4 linked regions of the Elephas maximus indicus genome follow. The protein of the gene in region 3 purifies or fractionates together with the protein of the main gene of each other region. This does not show direct contact. Links are inferred from orthologs where the notes say so. Each region holds a gene or a part of one and is shown on either strand. Other genes may lie near its edges.

Region 1 (7,557 bases), on a different chromosome or scaffold from region 3:
AGTGACACAGGGGCCATGCTGCCCCGACCTCACCCAGTTTAGAACACAGGCAGAGGGCAGGAAGAGTGGGCCTGAGTGGCCAACACGGAGATCACCAGGAGAAGAAGCCAGGGGCCCTGAGAGGCTGAAAAGCCCCAGGAGGAGGCCTCAGGCGTGACCAGAAGCAGAGGTGCAGACAAGAGGCCGAGGCAAATCCTGTGGGCAGAGCCCACCATACCTTCCCGCCAGCCTCGGAGCCCAGATTGCCTGCAGCCACCCAGTCTTGCTTCGGCTCCCAGGGGTCGTGGGTGGGTGGCAGCCCCTGCTGGGCCATCTCCTCCGTGCAGGTAAGCTGCCGCCGGCGCAGCTCCTCATCCGTCTCCTTGTCCACCACCAGCAGCTGCGTCTGCCCCTCCACGGCCTTGATCCTCTGTACCACCTGGGACAGGTGGATGGTGGGACTAGGTCAGCAGTCAACACCCTGGGGCCACACATGGACGGCAAGACCACCCAGGGCTGGCTGGGCCAGAGGGGGTGGGTGGCTGGACCTAGAGGCCCGTGGCCCCACCCCCCACCCCCAGCTCTAGCAGTGCCCTCCCTTCTTCTCCCAGGACTCCCAGCACCTTGGCCCAGGCTGCAAGGGCCGCAGGGTCCTAGCAGGAGGAGGCTGCAGGGGGCAGCCAGCTGCATGAGTCAGTCTGGGGGTGAGAGCTGGTGCACATCTGTATATGTGTGCATGTACACGTGCATGTGTGTGTGTTCACATGCGTGCGATCATCTGTCTTGGGGTCTGTCTCACAGTTTGGGTAGGAGAGAGGAAAAGGTGTCTCCTGGGCCCCTGTCTGGGTGCATCTGTGCCCATTTCTGTCTTTCTTGGCTGTGGAAAGTGGGCATCTAAGTCTCTGCCTGCCTCTAGGTCTCTGTTCACCTCCAAACCAAGAACTTGGATCTGTTCTTGAAGGCTGCAGAGAGGTGACAAGGTCCCCACTCCCATCTGGGCGAGGCTCAGACACCACACACATGGTGTCTGGTCAGAGATCAGCCCCGGCAGGTGGATGCAGGGAGAGGCAGATCCACCTGTGGGCCAGGTGTGGTGTTGTGGCTGAGTGTGGGCCTGTGTGCATGCCTGTGTACGAGCCTGGGGCATGTGGGCAGCATGGGGTGTGTACGCCAGGGTGTGGCCACAGGGGGAAGGCCCAGTGTCCACTACAAAATGGGGCCACAACCCCACCCAGGCCACATGTCCTGGGGAGGGTGGAGGGCCTCTCCCTCAGCTGCTGGGCAATGTTGTCAACAGATAGGAGGGTCTGGCCCAGGCCCATCTTCTCCCTCCTTTCTCCCCATGATCTAGAGAGCTGCTGGTACCCCAAGACCCTGCTGCTCCCTGTGTGACCTGGACGAGACACCCACACCTGCAAGCATCAGTCTCTTCATCTGTAAAAGGGGAACCATCACAGCACCTCCCCCACTCCTGCGCCTCGGAGGGCAGTTGGAAGGGTCCCTCGTTCTGTGGGGGGTGTTCTTAGAGATTAGCACCCTGGAAGGCCTGCGATAAGCTGGCAGTCTTGGGGTGAGGGTGGTGGCAGCTGGTAAACAGAGGCCAGCCACCAGCTCTGCTAGCTACCCTGCCCTCCAGCTTGTCAGGCCAAACCCTCCAGCCTCTGATGCCCACCCTCCTTCAGCAAACAGCCTTATCCATTTGACACTCTGGCTGGAAGTCAGGACAGCAGACAGATGGACAGAAAAGGGCCCTGAGGTAGAAGCAGTTCAGCTCCTGGCCCAGCCAAGAACCCACTTGTTTGTCTCTGGGCCCAGGGGCTGGCCAGCTCACAAACACCCAGAAGTAAACCTGTATGTACACAGACACACTCAGCCCAGCTCACACCCACAGCCCAGCTCAGACACACCCCCAGATACAGACTTGTATGCGCACAGACACACACAGCCCAGCTCACATACACCCAGATGTAGACTTGAACACACATACAGACACAACCAAGTGCACACACATACATACTTATACACACACACGCATATTCAGACCAGTTCATACACTCAAAGCCCAGGTCACACACACACCCAAATGTGCAGAATGTACACACACATACACAGAGCTGGGTACACACACATGCACATAGATATACACAACGATACAGGCACACACAGGTGTATTCATATACCCACTAGCCCTTACCGTGACCCCCCCCCACCAGGTACACACACAGGCAGATGTGTGCACACACGGGTGACCCCACAGGGCCCTGCACAGTCACACACACACCCAACCGTATGTACACACATTCATAGAAGAACACCCAGGGTCTCTACTTTCGGGCATTCACAAACCCCCCCAAGGTGCACCATCCCTCATCGTGGGCGCTGAGGCCAAAATGAGCCTCCAGAGCAGCTGGAGCCGCAGTGCGGGCCCCTGCCTGCCAGGATGCCCCCCCCAACCCCACGGTGCAGGACAAGCTTCCTCGGTGGGTGGCTGGGAAGGAGGCGGGCGCTGCCTCCGTGGCGCGTCCCCATATCTCCCCCCCACCACCACCGGGCCCTGCAGGCCTGCGCGACCCCCTCCGGGCCCCAAGCCCCGGCCTTGCGGGGCAGGGGCGCGCCGGGAAGGGGGCCCGGCAGGGGAAACCCACCTGGTGGTGCGTCTCGCCTTCCACGTTGACGCCGTTGACCTCGATCAGGCGGTCCCCGGCGCGCAGCGCGGCCGCCTCGGCTGGAGAGCCGGGCTCCACGCGCCGCACGAACTGCCCGCGGCGGCCCTTCTCGCCGTGCAGGTGGAAGCCGTAGCCCAGCTCGCCGCGCACTAGGCGGCACAAGCGCGGCCGCAGCGGCGCGGGCCCAGCCATGGCGGAGGGCGCTGGGACGCGGGGCTCGGCTCACTGCCCGCCGCCCACAATGCGGGACGCGGGGGGCGGCGCGGAGGAGGCGGCTGCGGGGACCGGCGATCTCGGCGGCGGCCCTGCTTCGCTCCAGTTGCCTCGGACTCCGGCTCGGACTCAGGCTGCGGTACCGCCCCTCGCCCGCCCCGTCCCCGCCCCTCTGCCGTCGGCCCCCGCCCCCCGACCGAAGTCCCCGCTGACCGAGAGGCAGGGCTGCCGGGCCGGCAGACCTCGGAGGCTCCCACTGTCTCAGCCTCAATCTGGGCAGCCTCCTCGGCGCCAGTGCCTCCTATTCCTGGATCATTTATTGAGTACCTACTGTGGCATAGTGGTTGAGCGCTATGCTTGCTAACCAAAAGGTCAGCAGTTCAACTGCACCAGGCTCCTTGGAAACTCTATGAGGTAGTTCTACTCTGTCCTATAGGGTTGCTTTGAGTTGGAATCGACTCGATGGCAATGGGTACTGCACGCATGGCACCAAAGCAGGCTCTCCAGTGGGTGAAGTGGGTATAGAGAGGGTCGGTCCCCAGGCCCAGGGACCCCACACAGGGGCCGATGGGTAAAAACAAGGGCTTTCCCGTCTCCACCACCCTCTCCCCCAGCACTTGCCCTGCTGCCTGCTCCTCCTGTCTCTGAACCTTTCTCTCACCCAGAGCTGCTCCCCCTGCAGCCCAGGGTGGGCCAGGAGGCCAACAGAGGGGCTCAAAAAGCTGCATGGCTGTGGCCCTCCCCACACCTACTAGTCAGGGGATGGGGCACTCCTGACCCTCCCAGGAAGTGTACTATCTGTGCTGTGTGTCAGTTAAACAACCCCCTTCCCTGACCCCTCCCTCTGCTGGGGTCCCTCACTGGTGTCATCTCAGGGGCCCCAGGCCTGGACCATGTCTTTGCAGTTGCTGGCTGGGAAAAGGTGTGGGGAGGGTAACACCATGGAGAGGTCTTGTGCCACCCTCTTCCTGCCTGGGATGCACTGTGCTTCAGACACAGCTGCGGTCAGTATGCACAGGGGCTGTTCCACATTGAACTGGCCCCTGCGGGCCTCCCTCCCAGCCCCACTTCCCCCAGACAGACAATAAACATTATGGAGAATCACTTATGCTTCTGTTCTGCCTCTCTGGGGACCAGATGCTGTGTGCATCTTACCTGTAACAACCCTAGGAGCTGGGCCATTTTACTGGTCAGGAAACCCAGACCAGCTTGGGTCTAGGGTTGTGACGTTCCAGAGTTCACACTCTACTGTGGGGCCCTTTTGCAGTCTCCAAGGCAGGAAGACAGCTGAGTCCCAGGCTGACCCTCTGCCCCCCGGGCCTGTCTCTCCCCATCCCTGCTGACCCCTGCACATACCTGGTTCCTGGGGGTCAGGCACATCCAGCCCAGCCAGTTCCCCATGGGGGAGCCGTAGTAGACTCAGCCTGATCCTAGCAACTCCCTCGCCTCCTTCCAGTGCCCTCGGCCTTGGCTCTCCAGGCCCTGCCTGAGCACAGGGCCTACCCCTGAGCAGCATCCTGGGCCAAGACTCCCTGGGTGCCCACACCCCAGCTGTTGCCCCTAAAAGCCACTTAGGCTGCATAGTTGCTCCCTCACGCCTCCTCTGCAGTTCCAGCTAATGCTACTAGAGGCTCAGACCTGGCTGGCCACTGTCTGCCTCTCCAGAGGCTGTGTCTCCTCACCTTGCCTGTGACTCATCCTCTCTGGGCCCAGCCTCACTGGCACTGCTTCCCTGGGAGGCTGTGCAGCTGGGTGCAGGCCTGCCATATGCCATACCTGTGCAACCAGGACCCCCAGGACTTGCCAGGTTGTAGCTGCAGAGCCACAGTGGTGGCAGGGGAGGTGGATGGTTGGGGGACCCCAAGCCAGGGGCTGGGGAAGATAGGGGCACCTAATCACCTGGGTTGGGGGCTTGGGGAACCCCCCTCTGTGGAGCACACTCTCATAGCCCAGACTTGAGGCCCTCCCTGGCCTTCTGCAGCCCAGTACTCAGCTGTTCCCCACCCCCCCCCACACCCTACACACACACCCGCCAAGACAGAGGATGGAACAGCGAGGAGAGTTTGGACACAACAGTAACTAGGAGCATGTGGTCACAGCAGAGGGCTAGGAACCCAGGAAGTATCAAAGGAACACTGAAGTCCTAGCTTAGCAAAGGTGGCTCCAAAGAAAAAAGAAGCTGCGAAAGTACTCAGGAAAGTAACCCAGTAACAAATGGGAGTAACAAATGCAACATCAGAGTAACAAAGGCAGTGGAGAACAAAGGTGGTGGGCTCCTCCAGCAAGAGAGGAACCAGGGTAAGAATTTCAAGGGGTGTAGACTCCACAGCAACAGGTTTGTTTTTGTTTTTGTTTTTTTAGCACGAATAAGAGGAGCCCTGGTGGTGCAGTGGTTAAGCGCTCAGCTGCTATCCAAAAGGTCAGTGCCCGAACCCACCAGCTGCTCCTCAGGAGAAAGAAGTGGCAGTCTGCTTCCATAAAGATTTACAGCCTTGGAAACCTATGAGTCGGAATTGATTCGATGGCAATGTTTTTTGTTTTTGTTTTTTTTTAAGCAGGACTAAGTGCAGGAGAGATGAGTAAGCTGGGAGGTCCCCCAGTAGCAAAGATGAGGAAAGGTGGCCCAGTGGCTCTCGTGGGCCACCCCTCCCCAGGCTGCCACCCCCAGCCTTGCTCCGGGGCTGTCCCTAGGCACAGTGGTCCACTGTGGTGGCAGCAGAGAAAGGGAACAGTATGAACTCAGGTGCTGAGGGGCCGCAGCTCTTTGGGGTTGCAGGGCATGGGGCAAGGGAGAGGGCTGGGAGACCCTGGGTCAGCGCCATCTGGCCATGGGGCAGGGATCCTGCAGAAAGTGGGCTCTACTTTGCTGGCTGTGAGAGAGTGTGGCCTAGCCCCCCAGGCCAGCAGCAGGCAGAAAGAGGGTCAGGTGAGAGGTGGTCAGAGACCTTGTTGTTGACCATCCACCCACACCACCCTGCCACCTGCATGCCCAAGCTGTCACATGTTTCTGTCCCTTCCCTCCTCTGGGCTTTGGGAGGATCCACCTGCAGTGAAGTCTGCCCCTGTGCTGGACCGTAGGCCCTCCAATCCTGGGGCAGGGAACTTTCCTCTGAGCATTGAACCTACATCCCTTTTGCAACTGCCCGCCCAGCAATGGAGCGGAGCCTGAGGCCCGGGTGGGGACTCGGGTGTGGCTGCGGGGTGGGCAGAGGCCTGGTCACTGCCTGAAGAGGGTTGGGGGCCCTGGCTGGAGAGCGGAGCCATTAGTTTGACGCCCCAATAAATGCCCCAGAGCTTCCCGAAGGGCGCTGCCGCCCCGATGGGAACTAATGGCCCCAGTAGAATAACCAAGCCTTGTTTAGGGCCTCCTTCATCAGACTACCCCGGGCCCTGGGGCACTTTTTAGAGCCCGAAATTGGAGCAGGCGGGGCCAACGCGATGGTATTAACAGAGACGAGAGAGAGAAAGGGAGATGCAGCAAGGACCAAACAGAGAGGAGGGTCAGAAAAGAGGCAGAAGCGGCGCTAGGGTAGAGGGGACCAGCGGCCAAGGTGGCCTGGGTAGCCCTGCCTCGCCCACCCGCTCTGGCCCCGCCCCTAGCCCCTCCCACCGCCGTCTCCGGGAACAGCAACCGCGCAGCGCCACCTTTCGGCTCTGGGCGGGATTGCACCGTCCAAGGGCTGTCCTGGGTCCCGTCCTAGGGCTGGAAATTGGGGTGAGACCGGCTCCCTAAGACTAGTTGGGCTTCAGGGCCATATGGGGTGTCATGGGGCACAAAGGGACCTCTGCCTGGCCCCTAATCCTCTCTGCCCCCCCTGCACCTGGCACCAACCTCTCTAGGCTGGAGTACCTCAATGCCCCCTGAAATCTGGGCACCGTGACCCGGGCAGTTCGAGGTCCAGGACAGTTGGGTGGAGTCAGAAGCCAGATTTAAGACGGTTAAAGAGGGAGGAGGGGGGGAGGGGCCCAGACGCTTGAGGCAGGCTGGAGCTGAAACCCTGTGGGGGGAGGAGACAATTCAGGAGGATATACGAACCGGGGGGGGAGGGGTCGCGAAGGAGGAAACCATAGTGAATGAGGAGAGCGGGTCGCGGGGGGTGGAGGGGAGGCATAGAGAGCCAGCTATGAAATGAACGCAGGAGAGAGCAGGAAAGTCTGGTTGGGCTGCCTGGGCTTGAGGTCGGAGCTGTAAGGCAGCTGGGAGCTGTGGGTGAGGGGGTCCGGCTCAGCGGTATGAGTTCCCACCTTCTCCTCCGGTACACCTCAGTGGATGGCAGTAGGGCCCAGGGTCTGTCTTGCTCCTCTCCACGTGGGGCCAACTCTCCCCCGGATACCCTGGCACCTGGCCTGGGGACCCCAACCCCTGAACAGGAAGCAGCACTGGCAGAAGAAGGAGCCCAGTTTCCGGCAGCGTCCCTGCCCCTCCCTTGCCCCCCCTCAGGATATGTGGATCTCGGCCGCTGGGTGGTTGGGGCTTCCTGCAGCCAGAGAAGGGGCTTCTGACATTTGCCAGGGCGTGGGAGCGGCTGCTTCTGCCCCAGACCTAGATGACAAAGTTCACAGCGCGGAGAAAAATGGTCACACGCAGGGGCGCGGAAACCAGGCGGGGTTTATTGACGAGACGACTGCCCTGGGCACAGCTGCGCGCTCTAGCAGCTGCATCGACTCCTCCGGGGTTAGGCGTGGGAGCGCTGCGGGC
Region 2 (7,518 bases), on a different chromosome or scaffold from region 3:
GACAAGTCCACTAATTCATATACTGGACATGTCTACAAAGGTTAAAAATCTCAGATAACTTTCAAGTCTTCTAAACCAAAAAACCAGCTAATTTTTTACCTTTTCACAAATGTGCTGCACTACAAATAACATGTTTAAACTCTGAAAAATAATTTTAGTCAACAAATATTTTTCCAAGTTAGTCTAAGTGGTTGAACACAATGCAAATGAGTTAACACTATGGAGGTGATCCCTTAGGAACCAGCAGTTTGATTCTGTGCCTACTATACACTGTTAGACTTGTCTCACTAATGTGGACTTTTTTTTTGCCTCTATGTATCAAGTTAGAATGTCTGGACATGTCAACCCCAGTTCTCTGCTTCACCAATGAGGAATAAAAGAAGTACAGAAATATATTTAAAATATGATACATACATTTCAGTTCCATTATACTCAGAAACTTTCTCTTCATTTTCTTGAGACTCTGTGAAATCCAATGCTCTCTTAGTTTCCTTTTTCTGAAAAAACTTCAAGGAAAGTCTGTTTTTCTTTGATGGACTACCTCTTGAAAGCCCATTGTTTTCACTAGGTATGACACCAGGCATTTTCTCTTCAAATCCCAAGTTGTTGACAAGAATTAATTTATAGAGGCAAGGTGTAATCACCAGTTATATCTGTTATTCATAGAAAAAAAGTTTCATTAGTATTTAGTTATCAGTTGTAGGCAACAAAACCATGAACTCTGAAAACAAATTTACTACAGGAACGGTACTAATTAGAACTTCAAACTTAAAAACTAACTCCTGGCAGTAATAGGCACTCAATATATGCTGCATTATTAATGAAGGAGCTTGCGACACTGTCCTTAACTTTCTTAAACAATGAAAGATATCTGATACTGAACCTGTATCAGTGTGCTATTAGTCCTTAACTTTCTTAAACAATGAAAGATATCTGATACTGAACCTGTATCAGTGTGCTATTAGATTAAGGGTCATATCTCAAAATATCCCACTTTATGGAAAAATATAGTAGTAAGGAGTAAAAATTTAATTTTTCATCATTGTAATTTATTAATTCAAAAAAAAATTGAGCAATTAGCATCTCTAGTTCTAAAGTAAGAAGTGGCCTATGGAGAGGAATGACTGGGAAATCACAGTAGTGCTGGACATGAGTAAGTCTTCCCTCCCAAGGCCTTTTCTAGTTATTAATATAAATATGCAAAATAAAATCTATAAAATATTTAAAGTATAATATGCATAAAAAGGCATAGATTTTGCATTCAGTTATATCTAAAACCCTGAGTGAAGGTAATAAAACATATGCAAAGTTGGGATGGTGTAAAAAATCGTTGCACTTTGTGTATAGTTATCAAATTCTCATGCTCTAGACACCACAATATTCTACTCACTTTCAAGGCAATTTTTTTTTAAACTATAGATTTTTAAAAACTGCTTTGAGTAGGAAAAAAAAGATGATTTGGTTTGACTCTGGCAAGCATTTCTACTCTTTTAAAGCAAAACTGTTCAATGAAAAAATATGTCCACATTGTAGCTCTTTTATATATCAGTCTATAGGGTCCCTATGAGTCGGTATGGACTTGGCTGCAACAGGTTTGTTATCATTCACTATGACATCTGGGGGAAAATGATCTAACAGGAGTATTACCAGAAAATTACTTAAAGCTCCAAACCTCAGCAATAAGTTTCAAATGTGACTACCTCTGTATGATGCACTAGAAAAAATTCACTCAAATTCCACCCTTAATAAGCGTTTCACTCAGCTAACTCTGATCTGGGAATTCTCAGCACTGAACCTCGGCAGTGAAACTACATTTTGGAGACAACTCAGGAAGAACTGGAAAGTTGACCAATTTCTTCTCCATCCCGTCTCCAGCTCAACTTACTCTCCTGGCCGCTTAATGCTAGTGATGAAATTCATATGCTTATGAAGATAAACCATAACCTGCACCACACTGGGATTTCTAAGCATTAACAATTCTTCAAAGACTTTTCTTGAAAACCAGTTCTAACGAGTAGAAACTGCATTCTCTGTGATAGGATACTCTGACTTTAACAGATGGAAACAATGATGAAGCACCTGATACACGGGATCGTCGTCCGAATCAATAAACCAACAACCCTCCCTCGAAGCAATGATCAAGTCACTAAGATTAGCAAGAATGTAACATTTTACCAGGTGCCATATAGTATCCTTCTGGCTCTCCTTGTAACTGGGTTGTAACATCAAAAATGTTTCTCGCAAAACTGTAAATCCAGTTTTGCAGAGAACACAATAAATCGAACACTGAATGTTCTTGAACAAGAGGGTGAACACAAAGTACCACTAAGTTTTGTTCTTTCCTTCAGAAGATCACAGGACTCAACTCTTGTTTTTCAAGAAAAATGTGAAACAACTAAGGATAACACCCTCCGCAAAGACTTCAGTGGCGTTCTAAAGAGTTTAAAGTTTCTAGTGTCAAAAATTGCACGGTAAAATTTAGCAGTTACATAGTACTCGAGTGAAAACATCTCTTCTCCCTACTATCACCACTCCATGGAACAGAAAAGAGACTCAAAAGTTGACATGATATCGTGTTAACTGATGTCCGTGCCCTTCAGACACAGCGCTGGGCAAGGTGGGACGCTGGCCGCTGGCGTTGTGGGGCGCCGCCACCGCTCACTTGAAAACGGCCCCTTAGCCCGTGGAGCTGGCCTGTTTACGCCCAGCCCGAACCTGCCTTCTCGAGTTCCCAGGAGCTGCAGGAGGGGGCAGCCCTCACAGAAGGCTCGGGTTGGCACCCCGAGCAAGGACGAGGGAGCAAAATGGTCCCTGGAGTCTTCCAAGCAGCGACGACGCCCGGGTCCCAGAACGGCCCCACTCAGGCGCCGGCCGAACTTGCCTCCATACCCGGGCACCGGCCCCTCCTTCCCCAGGCCCTCCGTACCTGGTCATGGCTCAAAGCGAGGTCCGCGACGGTGACGCCGGCGAGTTCAGACGGGATGGGTGTGGGCGCGACAGGTGAGTTCCAGCTCGGAGCCCGGGTCCCCGACCCAAGAAAAAGCTGGTCGGATCGCCCTCCCGCGGGGGAGTGACCATCCACTCTCAAGAGCGGGAACCCGGGCCGCCACTTGGTCCTGCTTTACGCCGACACCAATTACATTCCCGGAGCGGCGGCCGCCTGCGGCCGCCCCGGGATAGAAAGGGCGCAAGAAGAAGCGGCCCCGCTCCCGACGCTCCTGAGCCGCTAGGGTCTTTCCTACTCCACCACCGAGGGGAACTTGGCGCGTTTTCCTCACTCTCAGGACCCCCGGGTTTTAGCCTCCGCCCGCGCCAGCGCTGCTATTGAAGGCGGCGTCTTTCGAAAATGCCGGTCCTAGTCTCCAAGCTGCACAGACGCCAAAGGCAAGAGCCGCCCCGCGACCGCCACTCGGCCCCCTCGCATGCACGAGCTCCGGAGTCAGCTGGAACGGTAGTTTCCCCCAGCTCCTAACGGGTTCTGCAATTTCAAACAGCGCAGGCACAGTACAGGGCAGCTCGCGCGGGTCCTCGCTGAGGGCGCGCGCTAGGTGCTAGAGGCCTGGCTGGCGGGCTCGAGCCTCACACCCTTTTTTTTTTTTTCAACAACCATTTGTGCGCAAGTTGAGAGAAAAGCGTACGGGTCGGGAGACAGGACAGAGAGTAGAGGGGCGGTCCCCTTCCTTGAGAAACAGCCGCCAGGGGCTCAAATCCACCAATCCGTGATGAGCAATCACCAAAGCCTCTGTACCACCTCCAGGAGAAGCCAATCAGAAGTACCTGGATACCGGGGGGTGGGGGAAGGCAGTCTAGCCAATTCTAAAAAAGAAAAAAAAAAAGAGGGCGCCAGCCAATCATTGTTAGACAGAGAGTTTTCCACACAAGCGCGTCCCCTGCTTCCGATCGCACGCGCTTTCCGTGCCGCCTGCTAAACCTCGCTTTGCGTTTTGTTAGTCCTCTACGGTGGGACGCCACGGAGCGTGCGCTTTCCGGATGAGGCCCTTACAGTAAGCCCGCCCCTCTCATGCGCACGCTCTCGGGAGCGGTCCTCGGGCGACTGGTTTCGGAAAATGGCTGAGCAGTTTTGGTTTATTGCTGGCGTTCAGGGTTTTCTATTCGGAATCGCACCCCTGGTGCCAGGGCCATCCCAATGAAAACAACTGCTGCCACGGACAGCAATAAATGCTCAGCCGAATGGTGTAGAGCTGAGGCTCCTTCCTACCTTAACACGCTCCATTTTTTTCCTTTTTTTCCCCTTTCCGGCCACGCAAGGAAAGAAAATATTAAGTCCAAGCTTTGACTGGGGAGTGAGGGGACGGCTAAGGATTCCAGCGAGAGACCCCCTGCTAAGGGGCTCAAGGGCGGCAACACAGGCCTCACCTGGTTTGTGTTTCCATCTGTGTTTGCAGTCTTACCCTAGTGAGGTGACCTCACAGAGCAGGAGGTCTTCAGTCCAAATTCATTTAACCAAGTATGTTTTTAGGCGTCAAGGATACGGCGGTGAATGAAATACATTCCCTGCTCTAATGGAGCTTTACGTTCTAGAGGGGGAGACATAAACCAAAACTAAACCCGTTGCGGTCCAGTCGATTCCGACTCAGCAACCTTATAGGACAGAGCAGAACTGCGTCATAGGGTTTTGAAGGAGCGGCTCGTGTATTCGAATAGCCGAGCTCTTAAATAATATAAATAGGAAAAAGAGATAGTGTACTGTCTTAGGATGGTCTGGAGTTGGCATTGGAACAGAGAGATGAATTAAAGAAGGAGCGAGCTTTAGAAGAATCTGAGTTTATGGTCCAGGTAGAGAACAGCAAGCTACAAAGGTCGTGAGGCTCAGTGGGCTTCACGTTTTGGAAAGAAAAGAGTCCCAGGTGCTTAGAGTACAGTGAGCCTAGGTGAGAAGGTAATAGGAAATGAGATTAGTGAGGCAGACAGGGTTCTGATCAAATAGGAAGAGATGGCATTTTATGTATGATGGTAAATCATTAAATGGTTTTGAACTAGGGAGTGGCATGGTTTTAAAAGTGACTTGTGGTAGACAGATTGTTGAGCTTCAAGACCCTAAGCAGGGTGGCCTGAAAAGCCACCATAATTTAGTCCCTGAACTACTGAAATAGTCTCTTGTCTGACATCCCTGCTTAAGCTCTTGAAGCTCAACAATCTATCTACCACAAGTCACTTTTAAAACCATGCCACTCCCTAGTTCAAAACCATTTAATGATTTACCATCATACATAAAATGCCATCTCTTCCTATATCGACTTGATGGCAATGGGTTTTGTTTTTTTGTTTTTCAATAAGGTGGTAGCAATGAAAGTGTTGGAAATGGTTAGGATTCAGGATGTATTTTGAAGTAGAGCCAACAAGATCTGCTTATGGATTGCTGCATGGTCTCCAAGAAAGAAGAAAGATGTAAAGTTGTTTGTATGTTTTTGCCTGAGCAACTGGATAGTGGTTGGCCCTTGCTAAAATGGGGAACACTGGGGTAGAAGTGGGTTTGGTGGGAGGGATGGATCATTGTTCTTTGTTAGACAAAGTCGGATTGAGATACCTGTTGCACATCCAAATAGAGATGTTGAGTCAGCAGTTAGATTCCAAGTTTGGAACTCAGTGGAGAATTTAGATCAGTGGATATAAATATGAGAGTCACTAAAAATAAACACCTGTTGCCACTAAGTTGATTGCAACTCATAGCAACCATATAGAACGAGTAGAACTTTCCCATAGGGTTTCCAAGGAGCGGCTGGTGGATTTGAACTGCCGACCTTTTGGTTAGCAGCCATAGGTCTTAACTACTGCACCACCAGGGCTCCAAGTGGTATTTAAAACCATGAGACTAGAAGAAATCACCTATAGAGTGATAACTATTTATCCCAGAAAATCTGCAGGGCATTGAAGACTCTCTCCCCTTGCCAAGCCAGGAACCTTAAAACCCAGATAAAAGTCCCTTAATTTACCCACCTTAAAGTCATTATTCATTCCAAATGCCCATTTCAGGGGTAAGACTTACAAAGCTACTAATCGTTGAGTTTGTAACTCTAAAAGAACACTATGATATCACATAGTGATCTCTAAACTGCCTGTGCTACCATCAGTTGGTAAAATAGGTCCAAAACGAGATACCTTCAAGGAACTTATAATTCTTATATGAGTACAGAAAAAGAAAGCACCCCAAAATTTCTTGAGGCCAGCATAGAAAAGGACAGAATTAGAAAATATAAGTCAGTCTCACCTAATTTGCCATTGCCTAATTTGACAGTGCCTCATTCTTTCTAGCACTAGCAGAATGATTGCTACTTTCTAACTGTATGAGGACAGATAACTGATACATACCAAAAAAAAAACCTGTTGCCGTCGAGTCGATTCTGACTCATTGTCGACCCTATAGGACAGAGTAGAATTGCCCCACACGGTTTCCAGGGAGTGCCTGGTGGATTCAAACTGGCGACCTTTTGGTTAGCAGACGTAGCTCTTAACCACTATGCTACCAGGGTTTCAAACCAGTACGTACTCCTTTCCAGTTTCCTTGGGATCCTATTGTCTGCACCCTCTACTCTTCTGGTACAGTTTATAGTATCAAGATTAAGTTGCAGAGAGTAGAATCCATTCCAGGTAGTATAAGCAGGGAGCTTATTGAGTCCTTGAGAATGCTGATGAAATAGACTCTAGGTTAGTTTTTCAGAATCTTTGCAGAATCAGACCACTAAGGGAGTTATGACTTCTATAATCAGGAAATGGTGGCTTCTGGACCACATTGCAACTTCCATGCCTAGGAAATCACTACCATCAGAAAGGTACTCAAGCTGCCCATTCCAGAACCACCCTGTGCCTGCTATGATCTGCACTAGGATAATACATGTCCTAGGTTCTGCGTATCAAGGTTTGCAGAACTAGTGATTAGACACTGACTTCAGCTAATGCTGCTTCAGAAAAACCAAACATGTCCGTAACTGTGCTTGTGGGCAGCAACAGCAGAAACCCAGGGATGCAAATCAAGTTTGGTGTATCTCCGGCAATACAATTCATCTGAAAACTCAGTATACTTCTGATCCTTTTTGCTTTCATTCAGTTGTAGGTAGAAAAAACCACAAAGTTCTTGCTTTGTTGTTGTTAGGTGCCATTAAGTTGGCCCTGACTCATAGTGGCCTTATGTATAACAGAATGGAACACTGTCCAGTTCTGCAGCATCTGCACAATCATTGCTATGTTTGAGCCCATTCTTACAACCACTGTGTCAGTCCATCTCATTGAGAATCTTCTTTTTCACTGAGCTTCTACTTTATCAAGCATGATGTCCTTCTTTAGTTATTGGTCCTTCCTGATGATATATCCAAAGCAGGATGAAGTCGCAGCTTCCTTGCTTCTAAGGAGCATTCTGGCTGCACTTTGTCCAACACTGCTTTGTTCGTTCTTCTGGCAATCCATTGTATATTCAGTATTCTTCGCCGGCACCACAATTCCACTGCACCAATTCTTCTGTCTTCCTTTTTAATTTCAGCTTTCACATGGATATGAAATGAC
Region 3 (6,833 bases):
CTAAGGGAAGAGATATGTTCCTCCATTTGAAACTTTTAAAACAAGATGGGTTCATCTCTGGGAATATACATGTTAAAGAATATTTTGGAATGGGCTAAGAAGAGTTGGCTGGGATGGGGAGAGAACAATATTTCAGTACTTAAAATCTTTTTGGTATTGATTTTTTAAAACCACGCACACTTATTCTTACAAAAAATTTAAATTATTGAAAAAACAAATTTCAGGGCATTTACTGACTACCAGTAATCAGTTGTAACTTCACAGCTTCTATAGACTGAGTAAATTAAATAAAACATAATCCTAAAATCATAGGAAACATCTGGAATATTTTAAAAATTCAAAGGTACTCTTAATATTTTTAAGAGTATTAAAAATATCATACTTATACTCCAACTATAACTGTAAAAGAATACATTCTAAATAGCAATTTTCTAAATGAAATCTGGGGACAGACTGTGAATCAAATTTTCCTATACCCCACATAGATGCACCTAGATATAGTCTGACTTTAGTTATATTCGCCTTTTTATGAAGATCTACATATATAATTTGACAATAATGATGTTCACGATCTGTTAAATGTAAAAAAGTTACAAAACAGACTGAAAAGCTGTTTTCAAAGGGTCCTTAGTGAACATGTGGGAAATTATGACTTTCTTCCCAATTAGAAGTCTTCTACTTAAATATTCTTTTCCAGTTTCACTAGGCACAAAATTCAACCACTTGGTTACTGAAGGGAAATTTTGTTGTAGAACATATACCACCTATCCTCCATAAGGGGCCAATTATTTGCAAGGATTATTTAAACTGTTGACTATATGCAATAAATGAGCCCTGGTGGTACAGTGGTTAAGGCTCGGCTGCTAACCAAAAGGTCAGCTGCAGGAGAAAGATGTGGCAATCTGCTTCCTTAAAGATCACATACTGCCTTAGAAACTCTATCGGGCAGTTCCACTCTGTCCTATGGAGTTGCTATGAGTCAGAATTGACTTGACAGCAAGGGGTTTGGTCTTTTTATATGTAATAAAGTAAGGATGCAAAGGTCTTAAAGACTCTGCCTCCCACACCATCTCAGTATTGTAATTACCATCAGTTTCTGGAATCTTTCTAATGGTCCCCTGATTGGAATCTCAGGGAAGAAGGGTTAGACTGTCTTCAATAAAGGTTCTCATTTCTCAGTTCCTTCCCTCTCACAACTCACCCCATCCCCCACCCCCCAAAAAAGTTATTAAAAAAAAAAAAAGCAAGGGTGTTTACCTTCTAGGCCAGAAGGCATTGCCTATCTCTCAGACCTGCAATTTCCCGATAAGCCGAGTGAAGTTAAAAAACATTTTTTAATAGAGTTAATTCACAATTTACATTTTTGTGATTTCAGTTTTAAATAAATATCCAAAAACCTCTGGGTAATTACATTTACAACCTATGGTTATATAAATTATAATAAATATATAGAAGGGTCATGCAAAAATTGGAGATAATCTATGAAAGGTTATTACTTTAAGTCCCTGCATTAAGAGTGAGAGGTAGTGGCAGAATTTTTTTCTTTTTTAAATATTTTACAGAGTTCTAGTTTATGTTGTTTCATGGATTCATTAGATCCTTCTAATCCATCTTTGCGATGGCCTACTAATAATGTTAATAACAAGTGCATACTGCTCAAACTCAATCCCAATTAACTACTATGACTTAATGCATTTTTAACATTGTATACTTTAATTCTTTTGCAAGGTATTTTTGACACAACAAATCTTGTAAATTTTCTTTTCTCTCTTCCTTCTCCCTGGCAAGTTTCAAATCCTATCGACTTCTCTTCTAGAACTCCAGAATGAATTCCATTCCACCTCCAGAAGGACATCTAATTGACTTATTTGACATACAGAAAGTTTCTCTCCAACTATTTCAAAGGCTAGTAGAAGACTCCCCTGAGCCTACACAATCCCTCCTTCTAAGCATCTTCACTGCCCCTCCCCACCCTACATTCCATATGCACTTAAACTTCTTGTCATCACCTCCAAGGCTCCACTTGCCTGCATCTGCTTTCATTTCCTCCTACTCCCCTAATTCCTGCCAAAAAGCCCCGCTTGCTGCCTGTTGCATAACTGCTCCCCCATCACAGTCTCCCCGGATCGCTAGCCCCACTCCTGCAATCAGGAATGCCCCCTTTAGGTCCAGCCCCTCCTTCCTCCCGCAGCACGCCCAGCGATTCCCCCTAATTAAGCTCCTCCGTAGGTTTCCTCCCCAGACGAGGCGGGTCGTACTTCCTCGCCGACGTCTACAGAGCGAGGAGCCGGGTGGCAACTTCACTTGTGAACCCCGAGGGCAGAGTCTACCCGCTCCGCCCCGCGCAGCCCCGAGCACACCGCAGCGCGCGGCCAATCATCGCCGCCATCCTCCCGCTGGGGTGATGTCTTCAGGTGTCTGGGGAGAGAGCCCTGCGTGCTTCCAGCCCCGCGCTCGGGCCAGCGGCGAGGCGGCCGAGGGAGGCAGGGCCGGCCCGGGGCCCCACAGAGGCCGGTGGGCGACGGCGGCCCAGCAGACAGCCAGCGGAGGCGGGGGCCTGCGAGGCGGGGGCCTGCGAGGCGGGTGGCGCGGGGCCAGGGATGGGCAGCGCCGAGGACCGAGGCGGCCGAGGCCTGGGCGGGGGCGCGGGCGCGGGCGCGGGCGGGGGCGGGGGCGCGGGCGCGGGCGCGGGCGCCGCGCGGAGGCCTCGGCGGGGACCACTGTGGCCGCGGCCGGCTGAGGGGCGGCCGACCGCCAAGCTGACTGACTGCCGCGGGCGGGGGTGGCCAGCTGCCTCGGCCTTCGCGCCGGGCGGGGGCGGCCTCCTCCTTCCCTCACTCCCCCCTCGGCTCGCCCGCCTCACCTTCAGGACCCGAATTCCTCCCGGCCAGCGGCTCACGGGCGCTTCGGGCGGCTCCAGGGGCTCCAGCGGGCCCGCGGGCGCCGGCTCCACCTCCCCCATCAGCAGCAGAGACCACACAGGGACGCCCGGCGGGGCCGACGGCGCGCCGGGCCTCAGCGGCGCGCGCGAGCAGCGGAGGCCCCGCCCCCGTGAGCCGCGGTCCCGCCCTGACCCCGCCCCTGGTCCCGCCCCCTCCCGCAGCCCCGCCGGACCTGCGTAGCTGCGGGCCCCGGGTGGCCCCGGTGTGGCGGAGCCGCCGGCCGAGGGCTCGGCGGGCGGAGTACGGCGCCGCCGCAGGGTTGAGCCTCTGCAGCGGGCCGCGCTGGGTTTGGAGGACTGAGGCGCAGGAAGGGCTATTTACAGCTATCCCCGCCTCCTTAGTGCCTGCACCTGTCAGTTGTCACTGGACGCTGCAGTCCGCCGAGGGTGGCTCCTGTAAGTTAGCTCTCTAAAACGTTTCCTTTCTAGTTTAAAACCGGCCTGTCACCCTCACTTGCAAAGCCCTTGGAAGAACTGTTGAAAATACCTTAACGAGGCCCTTTCTCTTCCTTACTGGAGATGGCTTACGACCTTCGTCAGCAAATTCGACCCAAAATAATGTGTTCACTCATCTTCCAGCAATATCTAAATTCCCTTTCCTCCTCTTGTAGCAAAATTACCAGAAGTCTGTTCTCTCCCTCAAAGAGTAATACAGTCTGTGAGCCATTGATTATTTACAATGCTAAGTCGGAAAATCTTTAAAAGTTATCGTTTTGTTTTAGTTCCTACAGTGATGATAGTTTTGTGACCAATGGGCCAAATGTGGAATCAGCCTGATTTCAAATCTCAGCTCTATCACTTATTTGAGCTATACCCTTGTGTAAGTTACTTGATCTAAGTTTCTGGTTCTTAAGCTGTGAAATACAGATGAATATCTGCTTGATAGTTATTATGACGACTTAATGAATAATGCTTACAAAGCACTAAACATATAGTCGAAATTTATAGTAAAAAACCCAGACCCCAGCTATGAGTCGAAATCGAAATTTATAGTAGCCATTCTAATTCTGAATTTCCAAATTTAAGATTCACTAGATTTTTCAAAAAGCACTCTTCTTGTTCCTCTTAAATTTTTCTAGGATGTCTCACAGAATCCAGACTTTCTGGAGCCATGGAGGCTGGATAAACCCCCAAAACCATTGTCCTAAGATAATCTTTAAGCCAAAAATATTCCCTGGAATCTTCTTAAAACAATAGTTTAGCTTAACTAGTAAAGAATGCCTTGAGCATTATGCTCTTTTAAGACCTCTTTATATGGGATCAAATTGAAACAACAACTTGAAAGTTTAGATAGGAGCCTTATGGGGCAGTGAGTTTATGTTAACAGAGGAACAACTCAGAAAAGGAGGGTGAGAATGGTTGCACAACTTGAAGAATGCTATCAATGTCACTGAATTATACATGTAGAAACTGTTGGTGTATGCTTTGTTGTGTATATTCTCAAGAACAAAAATAAATTATAAAAAAAAATTTTTTCCTAGGATGCCTTCTGGACTTCTTAGATATTTAGACCTTCCCCTCTTACACAGGTATCCATGAATCTTCAAAGAACTTGTAAGGAATTTAACAGCAGAAAACCAATAATGTCTTGAACTTTGAATACATGGCAAAGATGGCATTACCTATTATCCGTTGCTTCACCTTGCCTAGTTCAGGCCAACCATCTAAAATATTTTAATTTTAAGCCTAATACAAGAAAGGCTGAAATCTAACAGTGCATTGTTTCCTTCTCTACTATGTGATATTTGGAGATATTTTAAATTCCAAAACAAAATTTGGCTCTTGCAAAGACTCTGACCCTGTACCAATTATTACTTCTGTAAAAGGATGGTGACTAATTTCTCTTCATTTTGAATATACCAAAATTCAAATCACCATTAAGCTTCATTTGTTTTGTCTCATTTTAATTAATTAAAATTCATCTCTGAGAGCCTGGTGAAAAGCGAAGAAAGTTCTTGTATTGTTGACTTGCTGGCTCACCACCACCACCACCACCACCCACCCCTGTCTACTGTTAACTTGCTTTCAAGAAAGCTACTCAGACTAGTCACATACCCCTCTTAGTGCTTAATTCTTCCGGCAAGAATACTGGTGTATAAGGAATAGGCACCAGTATAGACACAGAAGTAATCTGACCAAGGGGCAAAGGCAGCAGTTAGAATAAAAATGTGTTCAGAATAAATGTTTCTAAAAGCCTGTTTCTGGAGATATTGTTACATATTACCTTTTCCACATCTCATGGGCACAAATTCTTTATTGTTTGATCACCTGAAGGGAAAAGATCTTGTCCCAGGACCAGAATTTGAATTCCTGCTGGGGAATAGCACTGGTAAATGGTTGGGTTTTTTTGCTTTGACTTGTTTTCTCATTGACGGGATAGTGGGCTAAAGGATTAATTCAGAGTAATACCTCTTCCAAAAGAAAAAAAAAAAAAAGGCCACCAGCAGGATGTTTCAGGGGATGATGTATATAATGCCGCTCCCTTTAAAGGTCCCCATGATTTAAGATCCAGATTTCCAGTTCAGTAGTGACAACCAGTTGATATAGAGTTTTCTTTTCAAGTCATATATTACCATTAACATTTCATACTTTGCTGCTAAGGTCACATATTCATGTGTCTTTCAGTTCAAGGCAGTGTGCATTATGACTGCCAAGGGTTATGTAACTACAATTTCTGGAAATGGTGAACAGCTGAGACTAACCCTAAAAATAAATTCATCTGGGATTTTTTTGTGCAAAAATCCATCTGCCCTCACTGCAGGTTCATCATTACAAAAATCAGTTTGGATCAAGCCAAGAAGCAGAGCAGTCATTAGAAGTCCTCCCTGCTCTGTGTCCTTCCTGCAGCAGCTGTGCGCTCTCATCATCTCAGGACACACACACACACACACACACACACACACACACACCTACCCACCCCAGAGCTTTTCCTAATCTTCACTGCAAAATGGGAAGAAAATCTGGAAAAAGAAAGTTCTTGTCTTTCTTGTCTATCAGATTCTGGTAGAGAAGCCATATGATACTACAATCACTTAGCTGTATCTAGCTCCCACTCTTTTTATGATCACAACGTCAACTTTTGCCTGAATTCCTTATTCTACCACAGGTTGAACAAATTTAGTCTTATTTTAGTTCAGACAAACAGGCAGCGTTTACCTGGCTTCAGGGTTTGAAGAAAATTTACCCTATGAACATTTCTGTATTTTTCAAAAATAGGGACAACTGAACTGTGGAAAACTATGGAATAGAAATGAATTCGGCTTTTCAGGGCTGAGGTTCAAATCTAAATATTGTTCATTGCATTGCTGAGTAAATTTCTGGAGTCCATTACTGGCTAGGCTTTTCTACTGTAGCTTTTGTATTTTCATCTAATTACATGTAGATGAAGGTATTAAGTTTAATATTAAAAACAAGGATGAATTTAAACCATATAAAAGGAAAGACTATAGAAATATTGCTTATCAAATAGTTCCAAAGGGCACTTCTGCACAAACTAGGTAATTGCCAAGGCCTACGCCCTTCCCCTTCCCAATCAAGGGAATCAGAATAATAGACTCATCAGAGTAATAGAAAATCTGAAGCTTCCAACCTCCAACCACTCTCACTTCTACAGAAAAGAGTTCATATAAAATAGACCATAAAATAAAAACTCATTTTGGCTGATCCGGCCCTCCTCTTCCTGGTCACAAATAAACCTGAATAATTCACAAATAGAAACATACGATTAAAACCCATGACCACCCCTAATACACATTTCACCTTTTTTTTTTTTTTGCCTTGAGAATTCACATATGTGGAGAAGATGAGCATGTAATTAATCATGTTATGGTTGAAATTTCCAACTGAACTTAAGACTTTTTCATTACTAATACCTAGTAGTTTTAAAATTGTT
Region 4 (7,791 bases), on a different chromosome or scaffold from region 3:
ATACTACTTTTGAAACTACATTTGGCCAGGCACTGCCATTTCTATATCTGCCAATACACACACACCACACGTGCAACCAATGCACCTGGGTGGGAGCCCCAGAAGGAGCTTTACTCTCTGTGCCACCCTGGCAAATCTCTCTGTGCCCTCCTGCCCTAATCTGATTACAGCACACACTTAGCAAGATGTTTATTTAAATGCTGTCTGCCTCCCTCAACTAGAATATAAACACCAGGAAAGAAGGATTTGCCTTGATCATTGCTGTACTGCTGTATCCTCAACACTCACCAAAGCCTCTTGCACTCCAGCCATTGCTGTCGTGTCAATTCTGACTCATAGCAACCTGTCACAGGACAGAGCAGAGCTGCCCCCCATGGGCTTTCCAAGACTGTAATCTTTATGGAAGCAGACTGCCACATCTTTCTCTTGCAGAGCAGCTGGGGGGTTCAAACCGCAAACCTTTCAGTTAGCAGCCTAGCACTTAACCACTGTGCCACCAGGACTTCTTTTCTTGCACTTAACCAAAACCCATTTCCGAATCATAGATGCTAAATATATACCTGAGTAGGTGAATGAAAGAATGATTAGTAAAGACTAACATATCACTCAAGTTCCGGAAACACTAGACTCTGACAATGAACTATGACCTGACCATGTGTGCAGCTCAGCAATTTGGCAAGCTTCTCTCTTTAAAACACTTCATTATCACAGTCCTTTTGCAACAGAAAAAGATAATTAGCATATCTAGAAATAATTGGTCCAAACAATCCTCTAAAACCATGTCGGTACAGTCCCTTTAATACTAATGCTCTTCTAAAATGTACACTGTTAGAAAGAACAAATATCCAACTGGGGAAATGGATCCTTCGATGATTCATTCTTCCCTGTCACGTGCTGCTTAGTATCAACAATATATTCTGTGAAATACGCTAGGGGTTTCGGACGTTGTGCAAACATGCCTAACTCTCAAGAAATAGCATTTGATGATTTTCCACCTTGGTGTTGTTTAACAACCTTTTGTCTCACTTCCAAATCGACAGTCCTCCTTTGCCTCTTGCTGCTATCACCAGCATTGCTTTTGCTGCATTTGGGAGCCATGATGCACTTCCTGATAATGTTTTCAAAACTAAAGAGAGATAACCCTACAACACTCAGGGGACGCGCGATACAGGAGACTGGAAGCTGCTGCCTACCATTCGAAGTGTGCACTATTACACAGTAAACTTTCTATTTGTAAGCAGGGAAAGTTCACGTTAAAATAACAATAAAAACTATAGTACAGTACACACATAGGCCAGTAGCATGGGTGTTTATTGTGACTATCAAGACACATGTAGCACAGGTTATATATGTTCTGTACCGTTATACATCTGGCAGCACAGTTGCCTTGACTCCAAGAGGCATGAGATACACATGTTGCCAGTGGGAAGCTGTCCCGTCTGCTATGCACGGTTCTCCAAACTCGGGATTTCTGAACTCAATTATAACCTTACAGGGCACGAATGTATATGAGGTCAGATGCTACCCAAATACACATTATGATTTCAGTCATTTTTTTTAATACTGTTTCTCAGCGTGCAGTGTAGACTGCTTTTAAAGCACCTCTCCTATGTGATTCTCCACTCTTTAAAGATATATAAAATTAACCACCTCAGATACAAAGTGGCCTGGGGATCTCTAAGCACAATCAGATGCATACAAATGGCTAGTGAGACGTGAAACAGAAGGAAAGGCCCACGTTGCAATGAATAACTTTTGGGGGGAATGACTCATAACTATGATCCCTAGACGTCAGTTCCTAGGGAGCTAACCAAGCAAATTCTGTGCCATTTTGCACACCACTTGTAGTCCTTTCGGCCAAGCACAGAAACACCAAGTTTTAAACACAACCACATTCTGCTTCATTCTGGACTTTCAACGGGCATTAACACCCTTCCCTTTCAATCCACCTAAAAGCCCTGAGAAAACAATCGCAACAACCCTTGCAGCCCTTCTCTGCACAGAAACACTTCAAGTCACACACAGATGTTTGGTGTATTAAAGTAAACAAATGACAGGAAAGGAAATGCTGCTCTTCAAGATTCGTGTGGATTCCCAGAGACAAGACTGCCACCTGGACACATGGCTGGGAACGGGAGAGCTCATTCCTCGGAAAGAGTAGAAAATGGAAAAAACGTCAACGGCACTTAGTTAAAGTTTCCACCTTCCTACACACCCCCTTTCCCCCGAACGTGGCTCGGAGGACGCCCCCTTCCGCGGCGCGCGGAGAAAATCTGCACTTGACTTCCGTCCTCTCCCCGGGCAGGAGTAAGACCCTTCCTGCCCGCCCGCCTGCCTGCCTGCCTGCCGGGGACCCCCCGCCCCCGACACACACACGGGGACACACACACACACACACGGGGACACACACACACACGGGGACACACACACACGGGGACACCACCCCGCACGGCGCCCGGCCAGCCTAAAATGGGGCCGCGCGCTCGGCGCCCCTCGCACCGGCCCAGCCCGCGCCGCACGGCCGCAGCGCCCAGCCCGCGCCCCCCTGCCCTCGCCCCGCGCCCGCCCCGCGGGAAGCAGCCCGGAGCCCGCCCACTCGCCACGTCCGGCGCTAATCGCCCCGCGGCCGCCGCAGCCCTAATCGGCCGCCCGCAGCCGCGCTCGCCGCGCCGGCGCCGCCTCCCCTCCCCCGCGCCCGGGCCAACCGCCCGCCCGGCCGGCCGCGAGGAGCGCGCTAGGCCCCGCAGCCGCCGCCGCCGCCCGCCGCACCTACCATGGTACAGATGGAGGCGAATTTGGAGACTGTCATTAGGATTTCCATCCGCCCAGCGCCATCTTCCACCCAATCACAGCGGCGGCGGGCGGGGGAGGGAGCCGGGCGCCCGCTCTCGCCGCAGCCCCGGGCGGACCCCGAGCCGCGCGGCCTGACGGACCGAGCCTGTGCTGCCGCTGCCGCCGCCGGCGCTCAGGCACTCCCGGCCTCGGGCTCCGGCCCCCGCCGCCGGCCGCCCGCCCGCCCCCGGCTCCTCCCCGGCGCAGGGCGCAGCCGCTGCTTCGGGGCCCGCGCCTGCCCGCGAAGCCGCCGCCCCCGCCGCGCACCCCGCCCAGCCCTCCCGGGAGCGGCTCCGCCGAGGCCCTAGTGCCCGGCTGCTCCGCTGCGCGGCCCCCGCGGCGCCGCGCTCTCCCCGCCCACTGCCCGCCTGCCCCCGCCCCCACCCCGCAGAGCGAGTGAGCGAGCGGCGAAGTCCGGCCCGGCCCCACCCCGCGCCTGGGCTGGGCGGGGTCTGGGCCTCGCCGCACTCCGCCCCGCCTCCCCGCGGTCCTAGAGACCGGCGCCGGCCGCGCGAGGCGCGGGTCCTGGGGTAAGCCCTGCAGGGGGAGGACCGCGGCCCGTCCCGGCCCCCGAAACCGAAGAGCAGGGCGCTTATCTGGGTGACTCAGAGTGGGAAGAGGGGAAACCCGCTTCTGTAAGGATAGCCCGGGTGATGAACCCTCCAGAGCACTTTCCAAAATGTAAGGGTTGTTTTTTTTTTTTAAAACATATATTGGGTATTTACCTGGGTCAAACCAAAAAAAACCCGAACGCGTTGCCTCAGCCCATAACTCAGAGAAAGACAAAAATGAAAGTGGCAAAGGAGAAATTATGTCTAGCTCTTTGAACTAAAAGATAAAGGGGAGGAAGGGAGGGCCTGCCTTCCTGGCTCCCGTTAGCCTTGAATTTAGATATGTTTATAAATACAGTATCTAAATATATTTGTTCTAGACAACAGGAACTGCAAAAAAAGAAAGATCTCAACCCAGCAGCGAGAATGATGCAGTAAGGCCAGCAAGTGAGAAAAATGTCCTGTGAGGGTGGGATATTTCCTCTTTTCTATTTTTACAAAATTCATACTTGCACCCTGCTTTTCATGTCAGGCAGCTCAGCTTTACTTCTTCCTATTTCAGAAAGCAGTTCAAATGAGTAGAATAACTTTATTATATTAGGAAGCTGGTGGTGTTTTTCGGTTGGCAAACTAGAGTGCTGGGGTGCTTTCCTGGGGGATTCCCCCTTTTCAGTGGGGCAGAGGGACTGAATTTAGACAAAGCTCTAAAATCAGGTATTCCTTACATCACAGGTTAAAAGTATTCAAAAAGCAAATAAAGCAGCCAAACAACATTTAGTTGAAAAAGATACATTTGCTACACAAATGCAGTTTCCATAGGGATTTCCGTTATAAGCTTGTTTGGGGGAATATTTTTCGGTTTGAATATAGCCAAGTCCCATAGTAACCAGCCTGGTTCTCCAGGTGCCTGCCTCCATGGAAGCTGGGGCCCTTCCTCTTTGCTGACACCCAAGCCAGAGCTTAGGTAGGGCTCTGTTCCAGAGGGGTACCTAAGGCATGGCAGGTAGGGTGCATGACTGGGCATCGCTTGAGGAGAGGCGCTAATGAGCAGTTTCCATAGCCCACTGCAGTTTCCATCGCCAGCCGTGAGAGATCATTCACCAATTTAAAACTAATTGCCATAGTCTCTATTTTCCTGCTAGCCTCCTGACAACCCATCTGAATTCTTCACTGTGTTCCACCCCGTTTGTACAAGGACTAAAAACTCCTTAAATCCCAGGGGCTTGCGTGGGCCCCTTTGACGTTGCCATGCCTCTGGAGCCTGTTCGTCTTGCCCATCTTAATAAATGCCCATGGCATCCTATCCTTTCTACTTTGTGTTCTCTTCCAGGAAAAAGAAACTTACTGTCGACTTGACTCCGACTCATGGCAAACCCATGTGTGTTGAATAGAACCGCATGCCACAGGATTTTTTTGTTTTGTTTTTATTGTGTTTTAAATGAAAGTTTACAGTTCAGTTAGTTTCTCATACAAAAATTTATACACACGTTGTTACGTGACCCTGGTTGCTCTCCCTATAATGTGACAGCACACTCCTCCTTTCCAACCTGTATTTCCTGTGTCCATTCTCCACAGGGTTTTTAATGGCCAATTTTTTCAAACCAGACCAGCGGGCCTTTTTTCCAAGGTGTCTCTAAACCTGCTGCTGCGAAGTTGATTCCGACTCAGAGTGACCCTGTAGAACAGAGCAGAACTGCCCCATAGGGTTTCCAAGGCTATAATATTTACAAAAGCAGACTGCCACATCTTTGTCCCGTGGAGCAGCTGGTAGGTTCCAACCACCAACTTTTTGCTTAGCAACCAAGCGCTTAACCACTTTGCACCAAAGCTCCTATAAGGTGCCTCTGGGTGGGTTCAAACCACCAGCTTTTCAGGTTAGCAGCTAAGCACGTTAACGGTTTTAACCATGTGTACCACCCAGGGACTCCTTCTGTTCCAGGGAGCAGATCTAATGTGCCAGAGGCTTAGCCACGCCTCCATCTATGCTGCCCACCCACGTGCTTAGTTGCCTGTAAATCCTAAAATGTGACAAGAATGGAGGCCTCCTTGGTCCAACTTTATACATAAGTTTATATGAAAACAGGCCTTTTTTAAATTGACTTCTGATAGAATCATCTGGAGGCATGCCTAGTAGGTGTTACATCCATCTAAATGTGCAAGTGATGTCATAGACCCTGACTGCAGAACCTCACAATGACCTGTCTCCTAGCCTAAGGTTGAGTGGAGAGGCACAAACGGAGAGATCCTACTATTTGCCAGGTGCTGTACAGGGTGGTTTTCACTATCTATAATGCAGTTGAGGATAAGATTTGGCTGAAACTCCACACTTGGCACACACCGTTGTTGTTGGGTGCCATTGGGTCGATTTCGACTCATACCAACTTCATGTGACAGAGTAGAACTGCCCCATAGGGTTTTCTAGGTTGTGATCTATACTATCCATAAGGTTTCCACTGGCTAATTTTTTTTTCAGAAGTTAAATCGCCAGATCCTTCTTCCTAGTCTGTCTTAGTCTAGAAGCTCCAATGAAACCTGTCCACCATGGGTGCACCTGCTGGTATTTGAAATACCGGTGGCATAGCTTCCAGCATCCAAGCAACACACAAGCCACCACTATACAACACACTGACTGATGGTGGTGGACCCTCAACAAGATGAATTGACACAATGGCAGCAACAATGGGCTTGAACGCAGCAATGAAATGATTGTGAGGATGGCAGGACCAGGCATCGTTTTACTCTGTTGTACATAGGGTCGCTATGTGTCGAAACCCACTCAACGGCACCTCACATCGATGGCACCTAACAACAACAACAATCTATATGGAAGCACATCACGAGGCCTTTCTCCTGCAGAGCCACTGGGTGGGTTCAAACCACCAACCTTTTGGTTAGCAGCCAAGTGTTAACCATCTGCGCAATCAGGACACTTAATCTGGGCCTAGAACTCAGGGTTTTTTGTGTTTTTTTTTTTTTTAGATTTGGCAATTTCGTTTTTTAATTTTATTATGCTTTAGGGCTAAGAAGCATGTTCCTCAGGCATGTTGTTTGTTTTATAAAAAAAAAAAAAAAAATTTTTTTTTTGTTTTTGTTTTATAGACCTGTCTAATCCTAGGCTGAAAGGTGGACTTCAGGAGTGGCTTCAGTTCTGAGTTAACGGGGTGTCCAGGGGCCATATTCTCGGGGTGTCCACCAGGCTCTGTCAGTCTGGTCTGGCATATTTTTGTGAATTTGGATTTTGTTCTACATTTGTCTCCTGCTCTGTCCAGAACCCTCTATTGTGATACCTGTCAGAGCAGTTGGTGGAACACAGTTTTTACGGGCAACTGTATCAACTTTACAAAGAGCCCCCTTTTGCCTAAGGCGGATGTGTGTGACTGACCAGCAAGCCTGCCAGAATGTGTAAACTATAAAATATGCCAAAGCCTTCAGGGACCCAGCACGTGAACAGACTAGGGCTAAGCTTAATCTGGGTGGTCAGCACAGTGTATTTAACAAGTTTTTGTTTGAAATACCTTTACAAAATCATGCACTTCCCAGTTCCTCACAAACTCCTTATTTTCCTTTACTCGTCTTGTCTCCAGCTTGCCACGGGCTACTTCATACATTTCTGCCACCTCTCCTTTTACCTGTGATGATGGTGGGAAGGGGGGTACAAGGGGGATGTGAAACATCCATAAAAGAGCCCTAGTGGCACAACAGTTAAGCACTAGGCTGCTTAGGTCTACAATTCGAACCCACCGGCAGCTCAGTGGGAAAAAGGCCTGGCAATCTGCTTCTGTAAAGATTACAGTCTAGGAAACCCTGTGGAGCAGTTCTACTCTGTCACATGGGGTCACCAGGAGTCGGAATTGACTCTACAGCACCTGTCAAGAACAGAAGGCATCCCTAATGAGTTGGCACTTATTGAGACCTTATCTGTGCCACTAAGCACTTTATGTGTATTAACTCCTGACTCCTCAAATAACCCAAGGAAGTAGATACTATTATTATCCCCATGTTATAGATGAGAAAACCAAGGCACAGAGAGAATATTTCCAAGCTTGCAAATTTAGCAAGTGATGGGACTAGGATTCAAACCCAGCTGCAGAGGCTATATTGTATTGACTCCGCTATAGCCGCTCTTGCAAAAGTACCTCGTTTCAATTCTGGCAGGGTACGGTTGAAGGAGCCCTGGTGGCACAATGGTTAAGCATTCAGCCGCTAACTGAAAGGTTGTTGGTTCAAAATCCACCCAGTAACTTCCCAGGAAAAAGATCTGGTGATCTACTTCTGTAAAGATTACATCCAAGGAAACCCCATGGGATTGTTCTACTCTGTCACGTAGGGTCACTGTGAGTTGGAACCAACTTGATGGAACCCAGCAGGGTGGGGTTGAGACTCCTTGGGGACCCACTGGAGATTTTAG

What was found.
Region 1: the proteins of PHLPP2 (region 3) and NHERF2 purify together in Homo sapiens (affinity purification with mass spectrometry; 3 studies listed by BioGRID and IntAct, with this or other methods). This does not show direct contact. The link is inferred for Elephas maximus indicus from reciprocal best matches to the Homo sapiens genes PHLPP2 and NHERF2.
Region 2: the proteins of PHLPP2 (region 3) and USP1 purify together in Homo sapiens (affinity purification with mass spectrometry; 3 studies listed by BioGRID and IntAct, with this or other methods). This does not show direct contact. The link is inferred for Elephas maximus indicus from reciprocal best matches to the Homo sapiens genes PHLPP2 and USP1.
Region 4: the proteins of PHLPP2 (region 3) and USP12 purify together in Homo sapiens (affinity purification with mass spectrometry; 3 studies listed by BioGRID and IntAct, with this or other methods). This does not show direct contact. The link is inferred for Elephas maximus indicus from reciprocal best matches to the Homo sapiens genes PHLPP2 and USP12.

The regions. Positions count from the first base shown.
Region 1 is NC_064830.1:59,124,413-59,131,969, reverse strand, and holds the start of NHERF2 (Na(+)/H(+) exchange regulatory cofactor NHE-RF2), read right to left. Parts: upstream 3,001-7,557; 5' UTR 2,838-3,000; coding exon 2,625-2,837; intron 419-2,624; coding exon 218-418; intron 88-217; exon of another isoform or gene 1-87.
Region 2 is NC_064821.1:107,649,174-107,656,691, reverse strand, and holds the start of USP1 (ubiquitin carboxyl-terminal hydrolase 1), read right to left. Parts: upstream 3,017-7,518; 5' UTR 2,927-3,016; intron 654-2,926; 5' UTR 585-653; coding exon 415-584; intron 1-414. UniProt on the Homo sapiens protein: Negative regulator of DNA damage repair which specifically deubiquitinates monoubiquitinated FANCD2. Also involved in PCNA-mediated translesion synthesis (TLS) by deubiquitinating monoubiquitinated PCNA.
Region 3 is NC_064839.1:38,713,983-38,720,815, reverse strand, and holds the start of PHLPP2 (PH domain leucine-rich repeat-containing protein phosphatase 2), read right to left. Parts: upstream 3,018-6,833; 5' UTR 2,963-3,017; coding exon 2,864-2,962; intron 1-2,863. UniProt on the Homo sapiens protein: Protein phosphatase involved in regulation of Akt and PKC signaling.
Region 4 is NC_064841.1:59,199,181-59,206,971, forward strand, and holds the start of USP12 (ubiquitin carboxyl-terminal hydrolase 12), read right to left. Parts: upstream 3,008-7,791; 5' UTR 2,822-3,007; coding exon 2,774-2,821; intron 1-2,773. UniProt on the Homo sapiens protein: Deubiquitinating enzyme that plays various roles in the regulation of the immune response and inflammation.